2 linked regions of the Drosophila melanogaster genome follow. The protein of the gene in region 1 purifies or fractionates together with the protein of each later gene. This does not show direct contact. Each region holds a gene or a part of one and is shown in the gene's direction. Other genes may lie near its edges. The genes, in order: tau and CG8188.

The links.
Region 2: the proteins of tau (region 1) and CG8188 purify together in Drosophila melanogaster (affinity purification with western blotting, with the first as the bait; one study listed by BioGRID). This does not show direct contact.

What each region holds. Positions count from the first base shown.
Region 1 is NT_033777.3:27,647,470-27,652,368, reverse strand, and holds the start of tau (tau), read left to right. Parts: upstream 1-1,614; 5' UTR 1,615-1,676; intron 1,677-2,466; 5' UTR 2,467-2,566; intron 2,567-2,661; 5' UTR 2,662-3,307; coding exon 3,308-4,619; intron 4,620-4,760; coding exon 4,761-4,804; intron 4,805-4,899.
Region 2 is NC_004354.4:17,698,154-17,704,751, reverse strand, and holds CG8188 (uncharacterized protein), read left to right. Parts: upstream 1-1,974; 5' UTR 1,975-2,542; coding exon 2,543-2,551; intron 2,552-2,975; coding exon 2,976-3,446; intron 3,447-3,586; coding exon 3,587-3,736; 3' UTR 3,737-5,835; downstream 5,836-6,598. Other genes in the region: par-6, read right to left, coding at 1-84, 152-380, 1,027-1,101. UniProt on the Drosophila melanogaster protein: Catalyzes the covalent attachment of ubiquitin to other proteins. Acts as an essential factor of the anaphase promoting complex/cyclosome (APC/C), a cell cycle-regulated ubiquitin ligase that controls progression through mitosis.

The sequences.
Region 1 (4,899 bases):
GAATAATCAATGAGCGAAACGCAGACACAAATTGACCAAGGGAAGCCAACCAAAAGGAAGGCATGCCGATAGATACAACGTAAACCCACCACCCACCGACCGGCTGCATCCCCCCAAAAAAAAAGCTAAACAAATGCCGGAAGGAAAGGAAAACGAAAGCGATTAGGGGGTGGCAAAACCACCCCCCTTGGAAAAGTGTCAACAAAAAGCAGTCGACCTTGCTTAGCGTGCGCTTCCGATTAAATGCACTTGATTTACATAACATTTGAGTAATTTTCTACTAATTAAAATGGTTACCAAATCGATTATTCCATTTTAGTAAGTTCAAATAAAGTGGTAAACTCTAATGCATAAGCTGTGTTGGGAGAGTATAAAATCTGCCCTTAGCCTTGCATACTTATTGTTAATATTTATATTAGTTAATTTCGAATTCACATGGCTGTTACGTGCAAGCAGTGCTGGTTTGGATATTAGCTCTTCGCTGGGTTGTTGCATTAGATTAGCTTGGACGGCAACCTAACGGCAAATTGGATATAATATCAGGCGAATTCGTTTGTTTTAGTAGAAAAATATAAAACCCGCTAAAATAAATATATATAATAAAAAGTAAAATTTTAATAGAATTTTAAAAATAGATAAATTAAAAAATAAACGCTTTATATTAAACAAAATTTTCTCTTTTACTTCCAGGTTTGTATTCAGATTTATGGAACTTAATGAGAACTTAAAATGGCTTCAATTATGGTTATGTTAAATACAAAGAATCGTCAGGAAATCAAACTAATTCAGTCCTAGAGTAAGAACCATAACCTTGGCAATCGAAATTAGGCTACAGAACTATGCAGACATTAGCCCAGGACTACGCTCCTTCCACGTCTGAGTCTGAATCCTTGGCTAACCTCACGTCAGTTTGGATCTCCCCAGGTTTACTTTTATGTCTACGCATTAGAGCGCCGGAGTTTTGCGTGCTGCCTGCTTGTAAATAAATAGACAACAATTAGGGGAACCTATGACAACAACACCTGGATAATGGAAAGGTGCGTGGCAAGCGGTGCAAGTTGGCTCTATGTGGATACAAAAATATATATGCCACCCTCCCGATTGTCGAGGGCAAAGGATTGGGTCTGGGAATGGGAATGCACAAATGCGCGTCGAAATGCCTCCCCCGGTGGCCATTAAATTAATCAAGTCAAATGAAATCTGCATATAAAATCAGCGTTATAGGCTCCCCATTCGCTCATTGTTGGCGTGTTGAATTTGCATTTTTCCCCGGCGCCCCACTAATAAATTTGTATGTCAATAGAATATAGCCAGAATACAAGGGGCTGCTCCACCAAAAATATATCCTGGCAGCGCTTTGAACTGCGCAAGGACACATTCTGTTTATGCGCCCCGAGAAGTTTACGAGCGACCACGCTCCGCCAGACCAAGTTGGCGTATCAAAACAAATTCTAAGTATTGTAATTCGAAATTTTTCAAAGCAAATAAAAGCAGTCGAGTTTTAACACTCGCGCCAAACACAACGCAGTGCAGGGAGCTGGCGTCGTAGCTCCACCAGAATATTTCAATTAAATAGAAAACAAAAATATATAAAAAAAAAATATAAGAAAATATAAAACATATTATATTATTACGCGATTTTGTCACAGTAGAAGTGTGTGGTTACTTACGCCTAGGTAAATTGCACCTTCATTCCCGTGTTCAAGCCAAAGTGCAAAGTGCATTAGCCTTCTCAGGCTGTACGTGGCCAAGTTATTGCCCCCTGGCCAGGAAAATCGATACAATTGCATTGCATGGCGCTTGTTTTGTTTTATGGCCAACTGCAACTGCAACTACAATTGATAGTCTTTGGACTGTGTGATAAAAATCGCTACTGCAGTGGCGCCAGAATTCAATTGCCAAAGGACCAAGTTTTGTTAACCATATTTCACCGAGGGTGAATCTAATTGAAATGCAAGCCACGGGCTTAGGAAACTTTTGTGCTTGCACCTGTGCAACTGTTGACTTACCAACCCCATTCCACTTGGCTGATAATCAATTTGGCCAAGACCATTTGGCCACAAATGACAGTTGAGTTGAACGTTGTTGTGCGGTTGACATGAACATTGTGTGGAATTTCGGTTTATGTCAGCCGCGAATAAATCACAAATCATTGTAGCCCTAATTTGCAGTTGCTGTTTCTGCCAGGCCTTCTTTATTTTGTACTATTATATATATATATATTTTTTTTTTTGCTACTGCCAGGAAGTTGGCGATTCCGACTCTGAGTCGGCACAAGTTGCAGTTGCCTCTTTAGTTGGCAGTCGGATGTGGCACGTGCTGAGGTCATAGCTCCTCCAGTTTAAAGAATCCCTCGTCGTCCTGTGCAATTTTATCGATTCGCCCGTCAAATGTAACACACACCAAAAAAAAAAAAAAAGCACTGGAACTTAATGCAAAAGTTTTCGGTTTTTTCTCCGCATTAAGTTAATTGCCAGGCAGTGCCGAGAACCAGTCTATATAGACATAGTCCCCGATCCGAATTCGAACAGTAGTAACCCACTCAGATATGAGTGATACCGATGCGGTGAGTTTTGCTTGAATTCATATATATTTTGGAGCTGCACTTAGCGCACACCGATTCGCCCATGCACAAATGATTTACGAGCATAATTTGCATAGGGAATGATCCAGGTTAATGGATGTATTATTCCGCCGACCTTGCACATACATCATTGTCAGTGGAAGGAACCCTTTTGCGAAACAAATCAAACAGCGATTTCTTGTGGCCCGTCGATTTGGGCCTTAGAACTGCCAAAACTTTTGTTGAATCAATAAGCCACAAAAACAATTTGGGTCACGTTACAGCTGGCAACCGGATTTCATGACAAAATTCCCTAATGGTAACCAAAGACCGAACGCCCGAACGCCAAATACCCAAATATCCTTATAGCCATATAGCCAAGTAGCCAAGTAGTGAATACCAAAACAATAAAATGTAAACAAATGCAGAAAGAGCCATCAAATTTGAAAGCACCCACTCAATGTGAACTATATTGATACGTACGTCTGTTCCGATACACGAGCTTTAGCTCCACCATTGGCACTTTGGCAACCCCACAGTTGGCAGAAGTAAAAGTAAGCCCACAACGATATATGGCCATACATATGCAAATGATATGGGCCAGTTTGCCGGGGCAGCGGAGCATGTGGGTGTATATCGATGGCATTGGCCACCAAAAAGTGGCTCCGCCACATATTGGGTTACCAGACACTTGCACATTTCTGCACCGACACCGCAGGCGAGAAGTTCTAGTCCTTCGCTAGGATGTACGGCACGGGAAAGGATCGCTCCGGCCAGGAGATTATTTCTCCACAGGATTACCCAGTGCAGCAGCAGCGCGCTCAGTCCAAGTCAGAGTATGTCATGAATTCCGCATCTGTAGATCGTCCTCAGCAGCAGTCGAGACCACAACCCACGCAGGATTATGTGCCTTTTGAGTCCTCCGATTCATCTGTGGAACGAAAGAAAGAACAGCCAAGTGCTCAGTTAAGCACAGATTATACCAATAGCAACACCACTTCGGATAGTGCCTCCTACGGCTCAGATTCAGTTTCCAAACAGCAGATACGATCTCAGCAGAATCCAGAGTATCAGAACAATGCCTATGAGGCACCTAGAGATGACCGCAGTCAACTGCAGCCACAGAGATCCCAGCCAGCTACCGATTACTCTGCATATGAACGTCAGCAACGTCCGCCACCAACCACACTAGACTACACCACCGGCTATAATGCACCACCTAAAGATCGCACCACCCTGTCACGCACCAACTCGCGGCCCACCCTCTCCTCACCCAATCCCAAGCTCCAAAGTATACCCAATACCGAGTATGTGCGACCACCACAGAACTTTGTCTTGCCACCGCAGATGCGTCCCGCCGTGGGGCCACCACAGCCGCGTCCTCCGTTCGCCGGAGCCCGACCTATGGTCGGAATGGGACCACGACCACCCATGCCGCCGAACATGGCGGCCAGGCCACCACCGCTGCGCAGCACAGACAGCAAGAGCAACCTGCTAATGGGTCCACCGATGCGACCGGGCATGCCACCGCAACTCAATATGCAGCAGGCTCGTCTGCCCAATGCCGGCGGACAGCTTAGCCCGCCGGGCCAGGGACCACCAAGGCCACCAGGCGGATTTCCTTGGAATCCAGCCGGGGCACCGGGAATGCCACCCGGAGCACGTCCGCCCCAGAATATGACGCGACCGCCGCCACCTACTTTTGCACGCCCGCCGCCGGGACAGCCGCTGCAGGCACCCTTCAATCGACCGCCTTTCAACCAGCCGCCCATGCAACCGCAACAGCAACAACCACCACAACAGCTGCAGCAGCAGCAGCAGCAGCAACAGCAGCAGCAACACATGCAACAGCAGCAGCAACTACGCCCACTTTCGGCAGCCAGTGCACACAACAACAACGATGACGACGACGACGTGGTCATGGGTCCCGCGGTGACCCCGCTCAAGACCTTCAATTCGAGGCCCGATCCAATGGGCGAGCCCCTACTGGAGGACATCGAGCCGCCCTTCCAGACGAGCCCCCCAGCCGGAGAATCCAAAAAGGGGCCCGGCTTCAGTAAGACTCAGATCGATAAGCGATAAACCAAAGACCATTAGTGAAGCCATTTAAGAGTTTATTTTTAAAATTTAACTATCTCAATATGATTCATGATATATCCATCCATGCCTCCCTCATGTATCTTTTGGTTTATTTCAGAGGGCGACAATGACAGCGGCGTGGATGAGTCCACTCAGGAGAAGGTGAGTTGTTATCGGTTTTGAACCAGTTAACTAGTTAGCCATAAATTGTTACCTCTGCTGCGTCTCCGTTAATTGAGAGGAAATTAACTGGAACT
Region 2 (6,598 bases), on another chromosome or scaffold:
TCACTGGCGTATGGCCCATCAGTATGCTGCCGATGAGGTTTCTCGGTTTCATCGTTCCAAAGCCAGAGTACTCATTAAGATCATCTATAGAGTGAACGAAAAGATTGTGGTTGAGTGGCTCGTATTGTATCTTATGCATACCCATACTCACCCTTTCGCTGCACAATGACCCGTAAAAGTGGACGTGCTGTTTTCAGGGCCCGGCCGAAGTTATCGTCGTTGTTAATCGGCAACAGATCATTGTCCCGCGGATCGATGTAGAGTATGAGAAACTGGATGTTGGTCAGCTTGTGCAGCTGCTCAATGAGGGATGCGAATTTGTCGAAGCTCTGCTCCGCCTCATTTCGCTTGAAGCTCCACCTCCGAAACTCTGCATCGAACTAAAGGATACGTATTGATTAGTAAAGGGGCTGAATCTTTTGAAACCCGTATAGTTTGTTCATCAGCATCACCTGTTGATTCAATTGTATGCAGACATTTTACTAATTTAATGGGACCTTCACTGAATTGCAGTACATCTACTGCCTTATAGCTATTACTGGAGTTTATCTTGAAGAATTGTACCTTGACTAATTAATAACTGAAGTTTCCTTCTCTGTAAAATTACAGAAAATGAACGAAACAGGGTAGTTTTTGAGTAAGGCGCAACAGATTGGTTTTCAGGCAAAGAGCCCAAGCAATAAAGGGTGTTGCAACAATCCATATCAGAGCTCAGGAATTCCGACAAGTAAGATGCATTCGCAAGGGCAAATTGTCACTTTTGGGGTGCTTCTAAGATGGAAACCAGTTGCTCCTCACACCTCGCACTCCAAGCATTAATCCCTGCTCTGGCCGCTTTGACACAATCGAGCTCAACAGATAGGAGTTCCCAAATTGGTAGACACATTGCTCCTCAGACTAAAGACCCCCTTTCCACGCACAGAACTCCAATTTAAGCTATTAATCCCATTCCTGAGCGCATGAATCAGCAGCTCAGCGCCGCAGAAAGGGGCGTGGAATCCGGGGGCCACGAAAGTTAGGACTCACCTTCGATTTCACCTCGATTAGATTCGTGTCACTGGCCGCCGTTGCGGACGTTGTGTTTATCTTGTTCTTCGACATTTTCTCCGATCCGCCCGATCAAGAGTGCACTGACAGTTTTCCTCTCCGTTCCTCACACACAACACAAAACACGGCAGTTGAGTTCCGCAGATTCTGATCTGATCTTCAGGATCGAAATCGAACCGATACGCCCGATGCGAACCGAAACCGAACCAAAGTGCAGCGTACCGATGGCGGGGAGCGACGATAGTGGGGGGCCGCCAATAAATTAGAGTTAGAAATCTAAATTAAAACTAATTAAATAAAAAAAATGGATGGATGAACCTATCGGGCACTATCGTACTTCGATATTGGTAGGCACTATCGGTTATCGGATGGTAATAGATCCAGAGTGACCGTGGGGAATGCAAAACCAAAATATACCATTTCAGTTTTCTAAAATACCACAAATATGCTATAAGCAATAGATTTAAACAACAATGAAAGTATCTAAAAAGACTTAGAAATAATAATAATTTGTTTTCAATATAGCTAGCAAAGGTTTTGAATTTATCACAACAATAAGTTTTTTTTTTTAATAACGGTATGTTCTTTGTTTGTTTTTAAATATTTCCCAGAGTAACTTAGGCATGAACCGATGTTGTGCATATATCGATATATCGATAGAGTCTGAGCAGCCATGTTGCTGCGTTAGTGTAGAGACAGTTTGTTTGTGTGGGCTGGGTGGATCTTCAGATGCGCTACATTTGCAAAGTGGCTGCTGTTTGCACGAAAAAAGAGGCTTAACTGTTACAAGACAAGAATTAGCTATATTTAAATGCTCAGTTTTAATCAAAGACGTTTTTTAAATAAATAAATAAAAACCCGCTTTTAAATCGAAGGCAGGCAAGACGCCAGCACGAATATGCCCCAATTGTAGCGCAGCGCCAGCGACGAGGGTTACTGTAAAATGAAACTGTTTTTGTGTGTTGTTGTCGAGCGTGAAGTGTCCAATTAGACAACTGAATTTGTTTAGATGTGAACGCCAGAGTCGAGATAGGTCACACAGCAGCTACGACAAAGTTGAGCGAATCGATTTCAAAACAAAAGCAACCAACGAAACAAAATTTTAAGTCGCTAGAAAAACTAAAAATCAAGATTTTCGAGAGGAGGTGCTATACCAAATACATATATATATATAGTCTTTAAACGAGTGCGTGTGAAAACATAAACCCAAACAACAGACAAGGAGACTAGCGGGGCCAAAGGAAGCATAAGGAGTCTACACGCAAAGGAATAGTTAAAGCCAGCCCACAACGCACATATTCATATATTTTGGGACCACTTTTCCAAGGCAGCTGGGAAAAGGCGGTGAAATTGCGACTATCCGAGAGCCGAAGAGCTCAGCTGCAGGAATAAGCTGACGAAACTGAAACCTTGAGACAGCGATTCGCACGCACACCAGCGCAGGCCCGCATCAACACAGACACACACACGCACAGCAGCAGGAAATTCAGACATCATGAGTTCGGTAGGATGAGCATGTTCCTCACATAATTGTTAGCATTCTAATAATAATAATACGAAACGATTCTTAAGAAGTTGTATCCGTGATTGTAAAGAATCCTATCCAACAGATGCTTCTTAATCTTATGAATGGTTTAGTAGTGAGAGCTTAAAATCGCGTCCTTACAAATACTTTCCAGCATACTAAGAGTATGAATTTCATTAATAAATACCCTGTTTGTGGAGACATGTGATTTTGTTAGTTAAGTTTGTATGTAATAATCCTTGCCTACAAGTACTGTACTGTACTTGCCATCCATTTTTAAAGTTCGTATGTTCCAATAAGTACAATTCCAACTAGAAATAATGACTCAACCCTGTCATTAAAATCAATTTTTGTATATATAAACTTTTGCCATTCCATACTAATGCCATTCCCCCATTTGCAGCAATACTCGAATGTGGAGAACCTGTCGCCGCAGACGATAAGGCAGGTGATGAGGGAGCTGCAGGAGATGGAAACCACGCCACCGGAAGGCATCAAGGTGCTAATCAATGAGAGCGATGTGACGGATATTCAGGCATTGATCGATGGACCTGCTGGCACTCCGTACGCCGCTGGAATTTTCCGCGTCAAACTGACGCTGAACAAGGACTTCCCGCTGACGCCACCCAAGGCGTACTTCCTCACCAAGATCTTTCATCCGAATGTGGCCGCCAACGGGGAGATCTGTGTGAACACACTAAAGAAGGACTGGAAGCCGGATCTGGGCATCAAGCACATTCTGCTCACCATCAAATGCCTGCTTATTGTCCCGAATCCGGAATCGGCGCTGAACGAGGAGGCCGGCAAGATGCTGTTGGAACGATACGATGACTACTCACAGAGGGCGCGCATGATGACAGAGATCCATGCCCAGGTAAATTAGGGGTTTTCCCTTCTGTTATGATTGTGTATCATTGGAATACTAGCATAAGGTGTTGAATGATCCCAATATGATATTGTTTATCACGCTGCTTTACACACTTAGCTCATACATATGTATATCTTTTATTTTAGCCTGCCAAATGCGGTGTAGGCGCTGTTGGCGATGCCAAAGACGATGGTGGACCCTCGACGAAGAAGCATGCGGGCCTGGACAAGAAGCTGCAGGACAAGAAGAAGGAGAAGTTGCTCAAGGAGAAGAAACGCATGCTGAAGAGATTATGAGAGGCATAAGGCGGAGTTCCATGGACTAGCTAATCAACCAGGAGCAGTAAGTAGTAAGCAGTAGCAGAACACGTCGGATACGTATGAATGGATAGATGTTAAAGAATGGATGAGTGCGAGCGTAAACCCTACAAACAGGTGAAAGGCGACAGGATCAAAGCTAGCAAGGTCGAATCAAAGGAGGAGGCGCGCTATGAAATTTTACACTGATCTGATAAAAAACAAAACAGACAAAAAAACAAGTAAATTGAGCTACTGAAATTACGAAGTAACCGATGAAACCCGAACCCTGGAGGCCAATATCGGAACGGAACGGAAGTTAAAGCTGCAACAATTTCGGTAAAACGAGAGAGATAAAGAACCACTCCAAAGAACAGTGCATCCAGTTACCATATACGATTATTTTAACCAACATTTTTGGTGGCACGCCGCTTTCAACTGAGCCTAGAATATAGAAAACAAAAACCAACATAAAGCAACCAAGAGAAATGGGGATTGCAACCATCACCCAATTAATTTATGTAGTTCTCTTTTCTTAACGCTCATGGGCTATCCTAGCATAATTTATGTAATTAGATTAAACAAAACAAGGATAACATTATCGCCTCATACATGCCACCTCTTAAACACCCAGAACTCTCTAGAAAGCATCACCTTACACATACCTTAATGAGCACTATAATCGCTCATTTGGGGTGAGTCCGCGTATTGGACCCCCGTTCATAAACATAAACTTACCCCTTAGATTTCTTTTTTTTTTTTGTGTGTTTTTAAAATTGTATTCGCTTAGTTCATAAATAAATAAAATTTCGATTCGTTACATTCAATTGTCCTGCTTAGGCATAAGATACACAAAGGACACACACACCACCCATGCATCCAACCCACACAAATCACGAAAAATACATAAAATTATTAAAGAAATACTGTAAAAGATTGATTGCACATTCTGTAGAGATTTAGTTTTAAGTGCTTCCAAATTGTCAAACCCTCGACGCGAATCGGATCGGAATGGAATGGCCTGGAGCGGATTGGAAAGCAATGGCACGGTGATAAGTGCATGGGATATCCGTATCCTCGTCCTTTCGCTTGCTATGTCGCCGGTATTCTACACGCCCGCTGCTCTCTCGCTCTCTCTCCCTCCTTTCGTTCGAACATCCTTTTGAAGCTCACACAACAAACACACACAAAACGAGGGCAAAGAGTAAAAAGCAATAAAAAAGAATAAAATTCCAGAAAATTACAAAAAATTCAGATACTTGTGCGTAGAGGGAGTTTGAAAAGGTGTTTTTGAAATTGGTTTTAGGTAAGTAATATACATATGTATGTATGTATGTAGTTTTAAAGTAAAAAACTACACTTTACATGCATTTCATTAGAATTCGAATATTCAATACAGATCATTCAATTTTTACCGTGCACAGTAGTTTAGTTTTCCAGATCACGTCGCGCGTGCCAATAACAATAACATTTCCTAGTTCCGCTTCGTTCCATACAATTCCACTCAACCTCCCCCCATCCCTTACAGTTTATTTATTTATTTTGCCCACTGTCCACCGGAAGAGTTTATTTGTGTTTTGGGGAGTTTCTCGATTCCCGCGATTCTGCGAAATATCATGAGACACTCGCAAAACTAACACCGATAAACTAACATTCTCATTTGAGAGTAGGTGTGTGCGGCTCTGCCCCTCTCGCTCCCACCGCCTCTAGCTGGCTTTGTCTAACCGCCAACGCTTTCGAGACGGGCCAACATTCCAATCCGATCGGATCGGATCGGGTCTAACCTTCAGTCAACTTGTCGCTCGAACCAAATATTGTCGCACAGCAGAGAGTCAGAATCTCGCAGGGACGGCGAATCAGAAATACCCTTTAATGAGTAGTTGGCTGCTCGCACGTGCAAGGATCCATAAATTAAAAAAATATACTTCAGGGTTTGAATATACATTTTTAGGATATTTTTGTGTTTAAGAAACGGACAAACATTAAACATTCATATACATTTTTTAACTTTAAACATTTAATGGTTTTCTTTAAACCTTAAACAAATTACAAGTAAATTCCAATAAACAAGTTACCAATCTTAAAAACGATTAGATTCTTTGGTTCAATAAACAAAACTGATCGCAAAGCGGCTTGTCCTGCTCCGAAGTTAGGGTATTGCTTCTCTCCGGACTACGATTCAGATTCGGACTGAGTTCGATTTCGATTGTTCGGACTGACTTGCGCTTGGCGCTCTCTCGTGCTCTCCGAAGTCGGACTTGAATGAATGGCCAGCAGATGGACCGACCGCAAAATGGAAAATGCCGATCGCTGCGGCAGTGACGGCAAATGGAAGGGGGCGGGGGAGGGAGTGGCGGGGCCAAGAGGGAGCGGCGATCGCCAATTTCAGCTAAAGCTATAGCCAAAGCCAAAAGCCAAAGCAGCAGCAGCAGCAACAACAACTGAACAGCGAATAACAAACGGCAAAAGCAAAGCCAAGCAGGTAGATCAGTTGTGAATCTGGCAACAAACCATTTGGCTGGGGCTGCTGCTCCAAAATAACAAAAACAACGCGATCCGATCCGATCCGATTCGATTCGATTCGATCCTCTCTTCGGCTCCAAATGTCCGCGTGTGAGTTTGTGTGTGTGTGTGAGTGCCCATCGGATGCACTGTGTTTATTGCATTGTTGTTGTGCTTTTGCCGCGTTCCTGCTAATAAATATCACAATATATCCCCATAATATCTCCACATAAATCTGGCCAAAAAGTCTGTTCAAAATCACACTTTCAGCCTGTAACCTATGATTTTGGCCCTTTGTCACGTGATAACATTGCAAGGATATCAATTTCCCGCTGAAAAGAGCGAAAAGCGCGTGTTTTC